2 linked regions of the Danio rerio genome follow. The protein of the gene in region 2 interacts with the protein of the main gene of each other region in a biochemical or structural test. Links are inferred from orthologs where the notes say so. Each region holds a gene or a part of one and is shown on either strand. Other genes may lie near its edges.

Region 1 (4,239 bases), on a different chromosome or scaffold from region 2:
TTACTCAACATACATTGCTTAAAGCATTCCAGAAAAAGGAGTATATTTATGTGTTTTTTTTCTCTGATTGATTTTAAACATCAGCTTCCCCTCAGAGAGGATTCTGGACATTGTGATATATCTTAGTACGTGTCAAAAATGTGTAAATACCAATTTTCAGATGATTTGATGGCTTGACAGAGATTGTGAAAGTCAGATGCGTGACTCTGTGTGCACTTCTGTTATCTAACACTCTGAGGTTTATCATCTGTGAGAGTCTTGAGGTCACAAACAGCCAAAGTCTGTGAAACAAGTGACTCATGCTCTCACAGGACCTGTGGGAGAACAGGCAGATTCATCTCTCATACACATTGTCTGATGTCTCAGCACCGGAGAAATATCTATCTATCTATCTATCTATCTATCTATCTATCTATCTATCTATCTATCTATCTATCTATCTATCTATCTATCTATCTATCTATCTGTCTGTCTGTCTGTCTGTCTGTCTGTCTGTCTGTCTGTCTGTCTGTCTGTCTGTCTGTCTGTCTGTCTGTCTGTCTGTCTGTCCTTATTTACAGTCCATTCATTCATCTATCCATTCATTACAAAGATGCTAAATGCTAAAGTGCTACTAAACAAATACTGACACAACCACATGGTTAGGCAAGTTTTTTTTTTTTTTAATTAAGCACAGAAACATGGCATTATCATGTTACCATTTTAAATCTGTGCATTTTTACCACCTTAGTTCCCAATTTGTATCTATCTGTCATGTCCATCCTTCCATTAAATAGTTTTAAAATGCTTAAGTGTCAGTAGCAGTAGCTTTTTATGGTCATTTATAGATGTATAGATGCCTTCAAGCATGCAATTACTAAAAAAGGATTCACTAGCCTATGCTAGATTTTAATGGTATTATCAATGACATGTCAACAAACATATTACCACTTTTATATATTTGTAACTAAAATATAAAACATATTCAGATGCTTATTCTATCTATCTATCTATCTATCTATCTATCTATCTATCTATCTATCTATCTATCTATCTATCTATCTATCTATCTATCTATCTATCTATCTATCTATCTGTCTGTCTGTCTGTCTGTCTGTCTGTCTGTCTGTCTGTCTGTCTGTCTGTCTGTCTGTCTGTCTGTCTGTCTGTCTGTCTGTTAAACAAATAATATCATATATCTCATTACCTATTTCATTAACACTGTAGCAATAATATAATATAATATAATATAATATAATATAATATAATATAATATAATATAATATAATATAATATAATATAATATAATATAATATAATATAATATAATCCTAAAAAAAGTTTGCCTAGCAGCATCAGCTCGCTATCAAAAGGCTGTCGGCTGTTTCCGTTAATTTACGTAAGCTTTCGGAAACGGGGGCAGGACTCGGCGTTTGAGCGCGCCTGCAACTAATCCAGTTCATTCCACCAGTTCACCTGAACTCTTGACGACTGTTCCTGCGCGCGCAGGTGAGCTTTACCGGACACTTTCCTTCAAAACAATACTTTTCTGACAGCTTTACGCTGCTCTGAAGCGACTTCATCGCAGTTTTGGACAACTTTAAAGTCTTTGTGATTATTTTGAAAGACTTCTGAGGAATGTCGCGGATCTGAACAAAAAAGTGCGTGTACTCTTGTCTGTGTTTACAAAGTGATTCACACGAGACGTTTGCGAGAAAGCAAATCATGGCAACAGGAGGATTTAAATCTAACAGCGCGACAGACTTTCTGGAGGAATGGAAAGCAAAGCGTGAAAAGATGAGAGCAAAGATGCTTGGAGATATCGCCGCCGCCACCGGCAGAACCACGGAGTTAAACAACAACGGCAGCAGCTCGGTGAACTGCGTCTCCTCTGCGCCCTCTTATCCGGTGGCTCGGTCCTCCTCTTCATCCGCTCTGAAGGACGAGCCCAAGACATCCGAGCCGCCCGGGGGAAACTTGAAGAAGACGCCGGAGAAAGTGAGCGCAGTCCCGCAGGCGGATAGCCCGAGCCCCGCCGGTGTGGATGACAGTGATAAGGAGAGTCCCACACACAGCAAGAGCAAAGAGAAGAAGAGCTCGGGACCCAGCGCCAGAAAGGGCAAAGGACAGATCGAGAAGAGGAAGTTAAGAGAGAAGAGGAGGTCAACAGGTGTTGTCAGCATACCGTCCAACGAGGTCAGTTCACTTGCTTTAAAGTTTACCTTTTCACCAAGGCAATAGCAGAAGCCTACTAAAATGCTGCTTATTACAACAGCTGTCATAGACATTGTTTTTAATGGTTGCTACACTTTCAAAACAAAATAATAACATGGTGCTTGTTTAAGTTGTTTCCAGATCTAGACATTTTATAGATTGTGTAAAACATGCATTTTAACAAATATACATTGCACAAAAAGTGTAAATACCTTCTGTTCTATTAATCTTTTTATATATTAATAGTGAGCCCTGCTATACATGAAGCTTTATTTACATGCCTTTAAAACATGCCATTATGCTAGTTTTCAAATGGTGTTACCAATGGCGTAATGTCAACAAACAAAGTACTGCTTTATATTTTGTAACTAGAATTAAAAGCATGTTTTTACCATTTTAACCATGGCAAGGTAAACAATAATCAGGTGCTTATTTACGTCATCTATCTATCTATCTATCTATCTATCTATCTATCTATCTATCTATCTATCTATCTATCTATCTATCTGTCTGTCTGTCTGTCTGTCTGTCTGTCTGTCTGTCTGTCTGTCTGTCTGTCTGTCTGTCTTTCTGTCTGTTCTTGGTAATTAATACTTGCTTAGGATACTTTGATGTAAACTTTGGTACTGAATAATAGAAGTAAAGTTGTTCTTTTATTCGCAAATTCAGACTTTCTCCTTAATAATATAATTTTATGAAATTTTTATTTGTAAACTCTAAATAGCAAAATCATATTAGCAGCTAGTGACTATCAAAGTACAACATTGTTCACAGTCAAATAAACTGTGTAAATGTTGTTTTCAAGTCATACTTGCAAGGTTATTTTAGACCAAATATTCAAAGTGCCATAGTAAACAATGTAGGGAGTGTGTCACAAGTGGATGAATGTGTGAATATAAAGCCTCTGTTACTGAAAATATTAATATGCAATGTATTTGCATGCTCTTCGAAGAATGCAATGTTGTTACCATCATGTTAGTTTAAAAAGAAGCCGCATTGTCTTAGTATATAATGTGCCATATTTACGTGTACAGTAAGGAATACAAGATAAAACCATCATGCCTCTTTTTATTGGCTGCATGAATTTGCCAAAAGTATGATAAGAACAACAACAAAAATAAACACAGAAATCATATTATTGTCATGGCGAAGGCCCATATCCTGAGTTGCAACCATATTTGCTTACTGAAAGTGTTCTAAATATGTTTAGTAACTAAAGTATACAAGCTTGCTTGCATTATTACAGCCATATTTGCAATCTTACGTCTACTAACCATCCTACGTGCCTAAAACAAATCATAATCAGTGTCCAAATACCACAGAACTTTTTTTTTTTCTAAGTAATTTGTTGGTAATTTTGTCTAAAACTGACATTATTACAACCAGATTTGCTTATCTAGGCTCAACTCTGGCCAATTTATATAACTTAACTGTGAAGTCCATCGTTAAATGTCACTTAATGAGTGAACTCGCATACCTACATTATGTAATCTTGGTGAAATATCTGTTTAATGCATGTTCTCCTCCAAACAACACTCCTATAAATCAAGACTAGAAGGCAACAAGTCTGATGACTAACAGATTGGGATCACATTATACATATTTTCTCCATTTCATGATTTATAATGACTGTGAGTTGCTGAGTTACGTTGTAGATCATGGGATGGAGCTGATGGAGAACACGGTACGGCTGTTCCTCTAGTTAAAAACACTTCATTAGCAGATCGGTTCACCATAACAATTAGCCTCCAAATCTGTCACCGTTATCTCTCACCTTTCAACCCGTCACATTCCCCTGCATGAGCAGTGGGAGGCTTGTTAGTGCATATGCCAATGTGAATGTCTACCACCCAGCTCCACTGCCCTGCGGATAGTTGCTGTTGGAGGCTGACCAGTATGTCTGCTTTGGCTGGAGATATCCTGTCATTAGCCCCTCGCACTGTGCCAAGGTAAAGTAGTTTGGGAAGTAGGGGGCAGGCCAAGACTTAATGTTAGGGTGTCTTTGAGAGCAAGTATACACACTCATGCCCCAGTGTCTCTCTGCACG
Region 2 (3,129 bases):
CAGATTGGAATTAAGTAAACAAAACCATTCGGCCTGATAGTGGAAAAGTGGCTAAAATCATCAGTAATTAAATGAAATCAGTTAAAAATTATTTTAAACCTTATTTAACCTTAAATATGTTTTTCCCTATTTAGTTTTTTCAGTTTCATGACATTGGCATATAACAGAATGACATACTAATAAAGTTAATTTGAAACATTTGTAAATACTATAATTAAAAATATAAATATTAGCAAACCAAATATTTTCATTTGTTTGTATTGACATTTATCTTCATATCTGCTTTTAACAATCAGAAAGAGAATGACAATCGAGGACAGTCTCCAGCACTCGTGGATCAAGGTTCAAATATTTTACTTTTCCTCCCATTTGACTTGTGCCACCATTTGTTCAGTGTTTAACACAGTTCTTGTCCCATCAGGTCATTAAGAGACGAAATGTTCGACCCGAAGAGAGCGAGCGCAAGCCTGAACGCAGGCGTCTGAAGACCACCCGTCTCAAAGAGTACACCATCAAATCCCACTCCAGCATGCCTCCCAACAACACCTACATCAACTTCGAGCGATTCTCCCAGGTCATGGAGGAGATCGCAGCGGCCGAAGAAGGCCTGCGAGAGCTGGAGAAAAACCAACGATCGTGTGGTGAGGATGTGACCGCTCTGCTCTCAATATATGAGGAGAAGGAAAGCTGGTACAAAGAGGAGAACGAAAGCATCGCCGCAGACCTCAGTCAGATCAAACAGGAGCTGCAGAAAGCACAAGCCCTGCGCAGACAGAGCCAGGAGGAGGCACGTGCTGCCATGCTGTCAGCTAATGCCCTCAAACGCAAATTCGGACGACTGGAGAACCGATACGAAGTTCTGGCTGAGCAGATGGACTCCGAGGTGCGCTGGGTGGAGGAGCTGGTGCGCACCATTTCAGCTGAAAACCACACTCGCAGCACCAGCATGGCTTGAGGTTTGCTTTTTCAATCTAATAATGGCTATCTACTATCTTCGCTTGGTGTGTGCAGAGATATATAGTGTTAAAAGATTAGTTCACATCCAGAATTGACATTTTTTTTAATGATTTGTTTGCCCCCTTTTCATCAGAGTTATTCATTGCTTTCTTTAGTCGAAGAAATCAAGATTTTTAGGGAGAATATGCTGGATTTTTTTCTCTTCATATAGAGGACTTCTATGGTGTTCAATAGTTTTTAAACTACTCTAAAAGATTTCAGATGAGGAATAAGAGTCTTACCCAAAGAAATCTGATATTTATGTTTAAAAGTTTATGATCTTCTAAATAATGACTAATCGTTTTGCTTATTTTTTCGTCTGTGGAATCCTTTGAAGCTGCATGAAAACAGCAGGTTGGATGTTAAATCCACAGAGTACAATAGAAGTCCAATATATTAAGAAACTTCACGTTTTCCTCAAAAACCTTCATTAATTTTCGACTAAAGAAAGTAAGAAGAAAGGGAGCGAGTAAATTACCAGGAAACTTCCATTCAGAAAGTGAACTAAACTTTAAATATTGCGTTAAGCTTCATGTAATCCTGTAGGGTTCGTGCTACTCTTAGAACAAATGCTCGATCGGTTAAAAATGTTTTTCCTCTAAAGGTGAGCATGCATTAAGAATGAGCTGTTCGCTTGTGCAATATACAGTAGTATCAGTTTGTTGCAGCTGAAGCGAACATTTAGCTTGTGTACTCGCAGCCTCAATTATACATGCTGGAATAGTCGATAAAAAATATATATACATATATTTAAGATTTGAGAATCAATTACAGCACTCAACACAAAGGATATTAATGTACATTAAAAGTAATGCACTACACCAGTGTTTCTCAACCACGTTCCTGGAGGACCACCAACACTGCATGTTTCGGATGTCTCCTTTGTCTGTCACACCCATTACCGGTCTTTCAGTCTCTGCTAATGAGCTGATGAATCAGGTGTGTTTGGTTAAGGAGACATGGAAAATATGCAGAGCTGGTGGTCCTCCAGGAACAGGGTTGAGAAACATTGCACTACACAATCCTCTATGAGGAATTTTAAGATGCCAATTGATTTGTGGTGCTGCATGTCTGCTTTCCTATGCAAATCAGATCCTTATTTTATGATGTGAGATAAATTAAATTACTTTTAAAATGTATAATGGTCCTAAATGCTGTCTTTGGGTGAGCGGTAGATATATATAGTACTTGGTAAGCTGCTTCAATTTAAAAGAATAGATCACCTCAAAATTATTATTAATCACTCTCAGTTCTTTCCACGTCGAGTATGACTTTATTTCTATTAAGGAATGTAAAGGTTAAAATTGTTTTGGACTTTCATAGTATGTACAAAACAGTTTGCGGTTTGCTAAACAAAGTCATACAGGTTGGGAAATGACACGAGGGCAAGTAAATAATGACAGACTTTTATTTTGTTTTTTGCATAAAGCGCACTTCGAACATTCCATTTTTTTTTGTGTGTGACATTCCATATGTAAATGAGCATAATTATCTCTCAGGAAATAATTGTGCTTGTTAAAGTCATGGCAATATCTGTTTGCTTACAGTACTGTATCCATTATTGTGTCGTTTTATTACGTTTATATAAACATACGAAAAACCCATTCGAATAAAAGTACTGAAGAAGACCACAGTCAGCGTGTCTTTATTTGGTGTGTGTGAGCGCAATGGGAGGTCAAGTGGGGTGTTACATAAATCCCAGCATTTGTCATAAACTCTTTATCTTCATTTGCAACATGTCTAGAGATGTTGAAAGTCCCCCAGTTTTAATTACACAAAAGATTTTTCCATCTCCATTGTAACATTATGGTGTTTTGCTGCTGAGGTAAACATTTGCATTTTTGGGGTCATGTCGATGCAGCTGTTTACTTTGACAACTTTAAACTACATGGCATATATGAATATTCTGAGAACAGTTTTAGCTTCCTATGAGATGTAGACATAAATCAGCAGTGCGTATCTCTCTTTGCCTTTGGCTTCAACATGATCCTTCTAGTTTGTACTCATTTTTTTGTCATTCACAGAAAGAAAGTCACTGCTTCAAGTCCTGGCTGGGTCACTTGGCATTTCTGTGTGGAGTTTGCATGTTCTCCCTGTGTTCGCTTGGGTTTTCTTCGGTGCTCCCCCCACAGT

Evidence for each region. The genes of interacting proteins can lie anywhere in the genome.
Region 1: of the proteins of dapk3 (region 2) and pawr, one has a biochemical effect on the other in vitro, tested with the Homo sapiens proteins (2 studies listed by BioGRID). The link is inferred for Danio rerio from reciprocal best matches to the Homo sapiens genes DAPK3 and PAWR.

The regions. Positions count from the first base shown.
Region 1 is NC_133179.1:22,060,896-22,065,134, reverse strand, and holds the start of pawr (PRKC apoptosis WT1 regulator protein), read left to right. Parts: upstream 1-1,439; 5' UTR 1,440-1,703; coding exon 1,704-2,174; intron 2,175-4,239. UniProt on the Homo sapiens protein: Pro-apoptotic protein capable of selectively inducing apoptosis in cancer cells, sensitizing the cells to diverse apoptotic stimuli and causing regression of tumors in animal models.
Region 2 is NC_133177.1:40,494,860-40,497,988, reverse strand, and holds the end of dapk3 (death-associated protein kinase 3), read left to right. Parts: intron 1-296; coding exon 297-342; intron 343-421; coding exon 422-955; 3' UTR 956-2,629; downstream 2,630-3,129. UniProt on the Homo sapiens protein: Serine/threonine kinase which is involved in the regulation of apoptosis, autophagy, transcription, translation and actin cytoskeleton reorganization. Involved in the regulation of smooth muscle contraction.